Oryzias latipes: one gene and its partner. The protein of the gene in region 1 purifies or fractionates together with the protein of each later gene. This does not show direct contact. Links are inferred from orthologs where the notes say so. Each region holds a gene or a part of one and is shown in the gene's direction. Other genes may lie near its edges.

The links.
Region 2: the proteins of hsd17b10 (region 1) and trmt10c purify together in Homo sapiens (co-immunoprecipitation; 3 studies listed by BioGRID and IntAct, counting the BioPlex papers as one, with this or other methods). This does not show direct contact. The link is inferred for Oryzias latipes from reciprocal best matches to the Homo sapiens genes HSD17B10 and TRMT10C.

What each region holds. Positions count from the first base shown.
Region 1 is NC_019865.2:26,393,480-26,398,092, forward strand, and holds the start of hsd17b10 (3-hydroxyacyl-CoA dehydrogenase type-2), read left to right. Parts: upstream 1-1,774; 5' UTR 1,775-1,851; coding exon 1,852-1,875; intron 1,876-3,399; coding exon 3,400-3,564; intron 3,565-4,313; coding exon 4,314-4,478; intron 4,479-4,557; coding exon 4,558-4,613. UniProt on the Homo sapiens protein: Mitochondrial dehydrogenase involved in pathways of fatty acid, branched-chain amino acid and steroid metabolism. Acts as (S)-3-hydroxyacyl-CoA dehydrogenase in mitochondrial fatty acid beta-oxidation, a major degradation pathway of fatty acids.
Region 2 is NC_019861.2:16,612,646-16,616,746, reverse strand, and holds trmt10c (tRNA methyltransferase 10 homolog C), read left to right. Parts: upstream 1-1,487; 5' UTR 1,488-1,597; exon of another isoform or gene 1,598-1,705; 5' UTR 1,706-1,764; coding exon 1,765-3,285; 3' UTR 3,286-3,575; downstream 3,576-4,101. Other genes in the region: txnl4b (thioredoxin-like protein 4B), read right to left, coding at 1,021-1,172, 1,269-1,400. UniProt on the Homo sapiens protein: Mitochondrial tRNA N(1)-methyltransferase involved in mitochondrial tRNA maturation. Component of mitochondrial ribonuclease P, a complex composed of TRMT10C/MRPP1, HSD17B10/MRPP2 and PRORP/MRPP3, which cleaves tRNA molecules in their 5'-ends.

The sequences.
Region 1 (4,613 bases):
TTCCGTGTCAGACCCGCAGTTCCATGCCATGGATTTGACCCTTCTTCAAGGACAAGTGGCTTCTGCGAAGAGGAGTTTATGATCGTTAGGCTGATGGAAACCGGATTTGTTCTGTTGTTGTTTCTCCATGACAGATGTGTCATGATCAGACACAGAATCAACAAGAAGCTGGATGATGTCAAGATCTCATTGAGATGTAGGGGAAAAAATGGGAGCTTTGGGATGAGGTAGTAGTTTGTATAGTTTTAGGATCACACCAGATCTGGGAGATAACTATACAGCCTACTGTCTTTCTCAAGGCCACCAAATCTCCACCTTCTACAAGAATGCAGATGACTTACATTCTACTTCCTGATTACATCAACTGGAAATTAGTTTTTGGGGATTTATTTTCCTACTCTTAAGTTTGCTGTTGTTACGCGTGCCCTTTTTTTTTCCAATGAATGACCTATTTGTTCTGTAAACGTTTAATAGGTTCTGTTCAGACAAAAACAACCTGCTTGTCCATTTTGAGCTTTAAAATTGACAGTTACAAGTTTTTAAAAAAGAAACGACAAAGAACGTTTGTGTGAGCTAGAGAAGATGTGTTTGAAAAAAAGAAGTAGTTGGTTGGGTGTGGGATATTGTATATTTAGGAATAAAACTGAGTAACCATCACTGATGTCTCCTTATTTTCTTGAAAAATGTCTGAGATTTTCTCTCCCAGCTTTTAGAGGTAAAATGCTGTGTATTTTAATAACATATTTATGCATTACTGGTTTTATTTTTTTTTAAGCAAAGCTTTTTTTCAAAGACAGTATTGTGCTGTGAAACAATAAAACTCATAAGAATTGCAAAGCTTAAATTGCAGATTCACATGCCAAATAGTATTTAGAATTTATATTTAAATTTTTGTTTTGAAAAGTAAAAAAATAAGCCTGCTTGTACCATCCTGCTTTTTCACTATAACAAAAGGACGTTTTATTTATAGTAGCATTTTAGGACTTCCAAGGACAAAGAGAACATAGTGACAGACTGATGCAACTTTTTTTTTTAAAGAAACTTAAAACGAAATATAAGATTTTATAGATACACTTATATTTTGCTTCAAAAATGACAATAAAATGAGGGAATGTATCTTGAAAATGTGTGTATTTGTTAGGAAACCGTTCAATGCTTTAAAAAAATGGTTTATCGCAGTTTAAATCAAGGAGGCTTCGGTTGGTCTCCTCATTTGACCTCTCAAAACAGTTTTAATTGGATGATGCGTTTTTATAGGGAGGGGCGTGTCCTTAAAAGCTAATCACTGATTGGTTCAAGTGGAAGTTCTAGGGCAGAGGTTTTTCTGGCACAAAGATGGAAAATCTAAGAGCTCTCACACTGATTATACGTTTATTTTTAAATAGCCTTGCAATTTTAACACAATTTATTAATTCCGTCCATTTTGTACTGTCTTAGTAGTATTAGTATAACATTTTATTTTGATTTTTTTTTTAAATATTTAATGTCTTTGTTGGCAGTCGATGTTTTTTTTCAACTTTTCAATAAACATAAAGTACAAAAATCGTGTATTTTGCATACATTGATTTGGGTTAAAGGGTCTGACTGCAAAGTAACCACAATCACTCAGGTGGAACTGGTTTTCTTTAAGAACGGATTAAAGAAAAAACTTTGAGGATTAACACATTTAAAGAACATATTGACCAGTTCATCCAAAACAAAGCAATGACAATGATTTTAATGTTTAACACAAAATAATGACAGCAGGGGACATGTGGTAAAAAAAAAAGACAAGTTAGCAAATGGTAGACAAAGAACGGATCTTTCACATATACGATCTTCGGTGTGACGTCACCTCTCGGGACAGCAAACATGGCGAACATTCGGTGTGTGAAGGTAAGAAAGAGCCACAGATTTGCTTCTCTTTTCTCGTGGCGTCATTTACATGAACACATTTCAGGGCAATGAAATGAAGATTTAAGCCTAACGCGGACTAGTTTGTTAGTTTGAAGCATTTATTTCCATTCGCCATCTTGTTTTCTGTGGAGTCCAGAAGTTCGACAGACAGACAGGGAAGCTAACATGAAGCTCAGTGATGAACCTCATAGCTGGACTCTGCAGAACAGAGGTCGTTCAAAAGGTCGACAAAGCTGAGGGTTTGATTTAAATCTAATGACTTCTCCATTATTAATGCTTACCCAAGTAAAAAAAAAAGACTTTATGGACTTCTGTACACCATTTACATAATTTTATGACATTTTGTGTTAACATGATAATGATGATGCAGTTCGAGTAAATAATTGTCTCCCTAAAGACTTTAAGCCCTTTACAAATGGGAATAGGATTATCTACGTCAAAGGGCGAAAAATGCAAATAAAGATAAGATTGTGTTTACTATGTATCAATCCAAAAACAAACATATAACAATAACGATTTGTTGATTTTCTGATGTTGCTTTTGCCTGATTCTGTAATTATTATTATTGTTACTATTATTTTTAAAAGACAAATACAGATCAGTATTCTTTTATTTACAGTGGGGCAAAAACAAAACACTTGTCCCACTTAAAAGGCTGAGAAACGTCTGTAATGTTCACCACACAAACACTTTACCTGTTAGAGACAGAATGTAAAATATAAAAAGAGGATTGAGGATGAATCTTTCACCATATGATCCCAAACGCATCACCCGGAAAACCAGGGGTTACATAATAGTATTTTAATGTTCTGGAGTGGCCTAGTCAGTCCTGAGTCTAATAGAGAAACCATGGAGGGAGTTCAAAGTCTATGACCTCCAGCAGCATCTGCAAAACATCCCAGCTCTTGAGAAGATCCGGATGGGAGAAAGGACCAAAGTAGCACCTGCGGTGTTAGTATTCCTGGTGAAGACTTACTGGAAACATTTGGACTCAGTCGTTAAACCAGGGTTACATTGCAAAGTATGGAGAGGATTTTTTAATGACTAAATACACATTTCCTGCAGCTTTTATACAAACATTCCTCAAAAACAATTTGATGAGATTCAGTGAGTTTTCTTTTTTCCACTCTGTCTCACAGTTGAAGTGCATCTATGATAAACATTACAAACCTCTCATCTGTTTAAGTGGGACAACCTGCAGGATCTGTGTCTAATATACTTTTTTCCCCATTGAACAAATATGTATTTTTGATCAAAAACCAATATCTTTGGGCTTTAAAAAGTCAGCGTTTCTGGGCATCACTGCCAAAATACTCGATCTTTTTTAATTTATTAATGTTAATTTTTTTCTACTTGTTATTAAACACATTTGATTTAAATACAAATTAATTTTTTAAACGTCCGTTCTCAAATGGTGGAAGGTACAGACATTTAAAAAGAGTTGCTCAGTTCTCTCCCTTGACTCATCCCATTGAAGAATTGAAGTCTGTCTGTGTTTGGTAGGGCATGGTTGGCCTGGTTACGGGCGGCGCCTCTGGTTTGGGTCGGGCCACAGTGGAGCGCCTGGTGCAGAGCGGGGCGTCTGCCGTCATCGTGGACCTTCCTTCCTCTGATGGGGAGGCCGTGGCGGCCAGCCTGGGGGAGCGCTGTGCCTTCGCTCCGACAGACGTGAGTCTTCCTCTGAGATCCGGTCACAACATGTTCTGTTGGTTGACATGCTCTCATTAGGAAATGTTACTTTTTGTTCAGGTCTGTCTGTCACTTTAGTTTTAGTGTGAACAAACAGTTCAACATAATTTGCATTTTAAACTCTTCCATATGTCAGATCTGGCAGATTGGCTGTAAATTGACATAGTAAGAAAATAGCAGTTCAGTGTAACTGCAGCACACATTTATTCAAAATTAAAGCTAAAGTTCATAATGTTTAACCCTTCTGCTATCCTATGATAAGCTGAAAAGCTGGAACTCCCTTCTTCAATGTCTGTTTGTTTTAAGGAAATCTAAATTCAATATTTTAGTAAACATAAAGAAAAAAATTAGAGATTTGTGCTTAACCCTTGTGCTATCTTAGATGACCCCACCCTTACATTGACGTGTTCTCCCTACCATGACAAAGGTGGATAAAGGTGGAAAGATTTCATGTAATCCATGGACACCAGTGAAGATCACAAATCATTGAAGAAAAAAGGTTCAGAGCACTGTCTTCTGGGGTCCAGATGACCCACCCCCCAATGTTAAAGTGCCTAGGACAGCACAAGGGTTACATGACAGAAAAAAGAAAAGAAAAAAAGTCTCTGCTGTAATGTCCTCTCCGTCCACTAGAGGGCAGTCATAGGTTTAATGTTGGTTCTAACTTTGGCTCCATTGTGCCTAAAAATTGGAACCCTTTAAAGACATGAATGGTTTGCCTTTTCCAGGTCACGTCAGAAGCAGACGTGCGATCAGCCGTGTCTCTGGCCAAAGAGAAGTTCGGGAAGTTGGACCTTGCAGTTAACTGTGCTGGCATCGCCGTGGCGGTCAAAACATACAATTTCAAGAAGGACGTCCCTCACAGTCTGGAGGACTTCCAGCGTGTTATCAACGTGAGCCGAGCAGAAAAAGGAAACACAGACATGTGGGTTTCAGATCACGCCTCACGCTGCTCTGCGTCTGTCCTGACAGGTGAACATAGCAGGAACCTTTAACGTGATCCGCCTGGCTGTGGGGGAGATGGGGAA
Region 2 (4,101 bases), on another chromosome or scaffold:
ACTGAGTGTTCTACATTATCAAAACTTGTAATTGCTTAGCTATTATTACAGCCGGAGGCTCTTTAATCCCTCTTTTGTGGCACTTCGGGAAAAAGAAATGAGAAAAAGCTTTGAACAAGTAATAGATTATCTAAATGTTGTCATTTTATTTATAAACTAAGGGGATTTTCTTTTGGTAAAATACTGTTTTTGTACCACTGCAACAATACACTAAAATCCAGAGATCTCATGTGCTTTTCCACTCCCCATAGTTCAAAGATCTCAAATAAGTGAACAAAATAGTGATAAAGGGTTTAATATACTGTTAGAGCTGTTCATAATTTAAAAAAAAAATAAACCAAAATTATTACCTTCTGCTAAACAACAGTCCTGTTGCTACTGAGGCTAAGTTCAAAAGGTTTACACATGCGTAGTTTTTTTAAGGATATTGTCATGTTTATTTTCAGAAGTAAAGGAGAGAAAGGATGAAGCCATACCAAAATCCTAATGATAGAAAATGTAATAATTGACCTGGCTTTCTTACATTTCTAATTTAAGTAAAACTGTTGCAGTCGGAAGACCTTATTTGACACAGGGGGTATTTTATTTTGAATGGAACTTTTATGTACGGATTTCTACATTCAAAAAGATAAAAACATTTTAGCATAAAAAAATAACAATAATGCTGTTATTCTTTAATTCTTTTAAATATTTAAAAGCTAAGTTTTATAAATGAATGGCTTGATGGTCACAAAAACATACATACAGTGCTTTTTTCTTAACAATAAGGTGGGGGTTTGCGGCTCTTGTTGGGTTTTGGCCAGTAAAAAAAAGTGGACTGACTGATACGGTTTATAATAATAATAACAACAATAATAATAATAATTTAAAACAAATTAAAGTTAAATGTTTAAAAAATAGGTTAATGATATATAATATCTGTATTATAAGGCTGCATTGTTTGCAGTGCCCTTGTAATGCTAAATAAAATAGTAAAATAATGAAGTAAAAGAATCAAATGGCAGATAAACGTAGACTCACCCATAGTCAACTTTCATGTGCTGCCCGTTGAAAAAGAAAACAGTTGAAGGAATGTAACTAATGTCGAAATATCTTGTGTATATCAGCGCTTTGTCTACATCTATTATATAAATGGAAGCCATGTTGCTCAAGTCGTGAGCAGTTTTCGATAACTAAAAGAAAATCAAGACAGAAAAAGAAAATCAATACTGAACAGACAACAACATTTATCGAAAACGGCATTTTAAACTTTACTTCTTGTCGCTTACAATCTCATCCAGCTGCAAACAAACCGAGTCTTCGTCTCTCCCAAATCGCAGAACAACGACTTTTTCAGCCACCCCTTTGATAACATCATCAATGTCCTTTTTGGTTGTTAATTTAGGCAAAAACAAACTCATTTTGCGGGCTGATGTGTTAGCTTCGTGACTTTCGTCGCGAAAAGTTAGCGGAAATTACATCATCAACTGTTGTTCAGGACCGAAAAGCTTCCGTTTGGAAACAAATACGACACATTACAGTGCGACACCCTGAAACAACGTGACCTTCCACCCGATATGAAAAATCTCGTACACTGACACACGTTGGATCATCATTGGTAATATTCTCTATTTTCTTTAGATATTCTACGATGCTACAAGTCTTATTAACGTAAAAATGAGCTTTGAAACTTAAAGACTATTGATCCGTATTTCCTTTCATGCAGCGTGGATGTATTCCGGTTGTGCCTTTCAAGAAAGGATAACGTGAGGTGATTCATTTAAAATGCTTCGACATTTATTCAGCAAAGGCTGTAATGGATTACGGATTGGCTGTCAAGTAGGGACACCCAGGAGTCAAGTGCGCAGATTCTTGCCTCTCACCTGCGATGGAGTACAATTAATATCCTGTCGCCGCCTCTGTTCGGGACATCCTAAGGAGAAAGATCTTATCCAAACCAAAGAAGATAAATCTGAGCAAGCAGAACCACTAGATTTGGACCAATGGAAGGTGGTCATGAGATCCCAAGCTAAATACCAGGAGCAAAAAGTTGATGATGGTTTGGAAGGAAGTAACGATGGGAGTCTGGATGAAAATGGAGATGATTGTAAGAACAGTTCTTCCCTGGAGGCAACTCGTGAACTTGTGTCAATGTGGCGACAAGCAGGTAAGCTTGTGCCTCAAGAAATGACCGAAGACGAGCTTCAAACCTTGTCCGAGCTCACGACTAAGTCCTCCAGAAAGAAGTACCTAAAGTACCTGGCTATCAGGGAGGGCTACAAACTGTCCCGCAAAGAAAAGCAGGCACAGAAGAGAGCAGAAAAAGAAGCAACAATGAAAGAGAATAGAGGCGGTGCAGAGGAAGGGTCTGATCAGGAGAACAACCAAATCCCAAACTCGCTTTTCCTCAAGTTTTGGGGACATTCTTTTGACAGAGTGTTTGCTTGGCGAAGCGCCCAGGCCATGCTGTTTGGCCAACCACTTGTGTTCGACTTCAGCTACGAGTCCAACATGTCTCGGCGAGAGATCGAGAACACTGTGTCCCAGCTGCTGGAGGTGGAAGGGTGGAATCGGCGCGCCATCGACCCTTTTCACCTCCACTTCTGCAACCTGCAGCCAGACGGACCTTACCACCAGGAGTTGATCAAACGGTACAGTGCAGAAGTTTGGGATCGCCTGCTCGTCACCAACACTGAACGCCACTATGTGGAACTGTTCCCCAAAGAACAACTGGTCTATCTCACTGCAGACTCCCCTAACGTTCTGCACTCCTTTGACCACTCCAAGATCTACATCATCGGAGCCTTGGTGGACCGTTCCATCCAGCCAGGGCTGTCCCTGGCCAACGCCAAGCGCCTAAAGCTGGCCACAGCACGCTTACCTCTGGATGAGTTTCTTCACTGGGAAACTGGAGCCAAAAATTTGACTCTGGACCAGATGATCCGTATCATGCTTTCTATTAAGATGACTGGGAAATGGGAGGAAGCTTTAACGTTTGTGCCTGAGAGAAAGCACGATGGTTTACACCAACAGCAGACAAAACCTTTGCGAACAAATACGACAACCAGAGGTTTTACAAATCAAGGATGGAGAGAGCATGCTGACAGGCCACTAAAGTTTAAAAAAACACACGAGAAAAGGACATTTATGAGCCCCGACCAGTCGAAAAGGGAGCCTGGTGGAGACAGAATAGTTGGTGCTAAAGAAAAATCCACATCTGGAACTAGAGTACGGACATCACTGAAAAGTAACCTGGAAAACAGGAAAGCTGCAGATAGAAACAAGATGTGGTGGGATGATGATTGATGTAAACATGTTGGTCAACAAGAATGTTTCAATGCCTGTTTTTGTAAAATGTTGGCAAATAAAAGATGGAATTTGGTGTTTTGGAGTTCTGATGCTGAGAAACTAACAGGTTTCATTTAAAAAGTAGAAACTACCTTCAGCTTATGTACACAAATGTTCAAAAATCTTTATGGGGTTTGTGTCAGTGACATAAGATGCATGAAAAAACATCTGCACAACTGAAGATTACTTTGTACAGCATGTGTAACGTTAAAAAAATGTTTTCCAATTGACAATCATAGATTGAGTGATCCTAAAAAAGTAAATGATAAATGGAAAGTGCAACTAATTGTTTTTATTTATTTTTGTATCAGTATAAGATCATATGTTCATTTTCAAAATAAAAAAACATATTATTAGACATTTTTTAAAATTGTGTTATTTTCAAAATATCTTGTCCAATAATTTATTAGACTTTAAAAAAAATCAACCTGAAGTAATAGGGAGATAATAGGGTTTGTTGATTAGCAAAGATCTTTTTCTCCTTTTTTTTATTCCAGATTCTTCCTCTGCAGCGTTTGTGAAGAAAGAAAAAGTTTAATAATGTCTGTAAGTAAGGCTGTCTGCAGTTCAGGTTAAGGAGGTGAAGGAAGGAGCTCCAAGCATATGGCTACAAGTATGACATTGCTCTGAAATGTTGAAAAAAACAAAACCGCATTAAAAGACACTGAAAAGAATCTAGAAGGTGTTTTCAGCTGTCTTAAATTTTTTAACAATAAAAACGGTTGGACCCTTTTTCTGTTGCTTTACATTTGTCTGCAGCTCATCTGCTGCTTC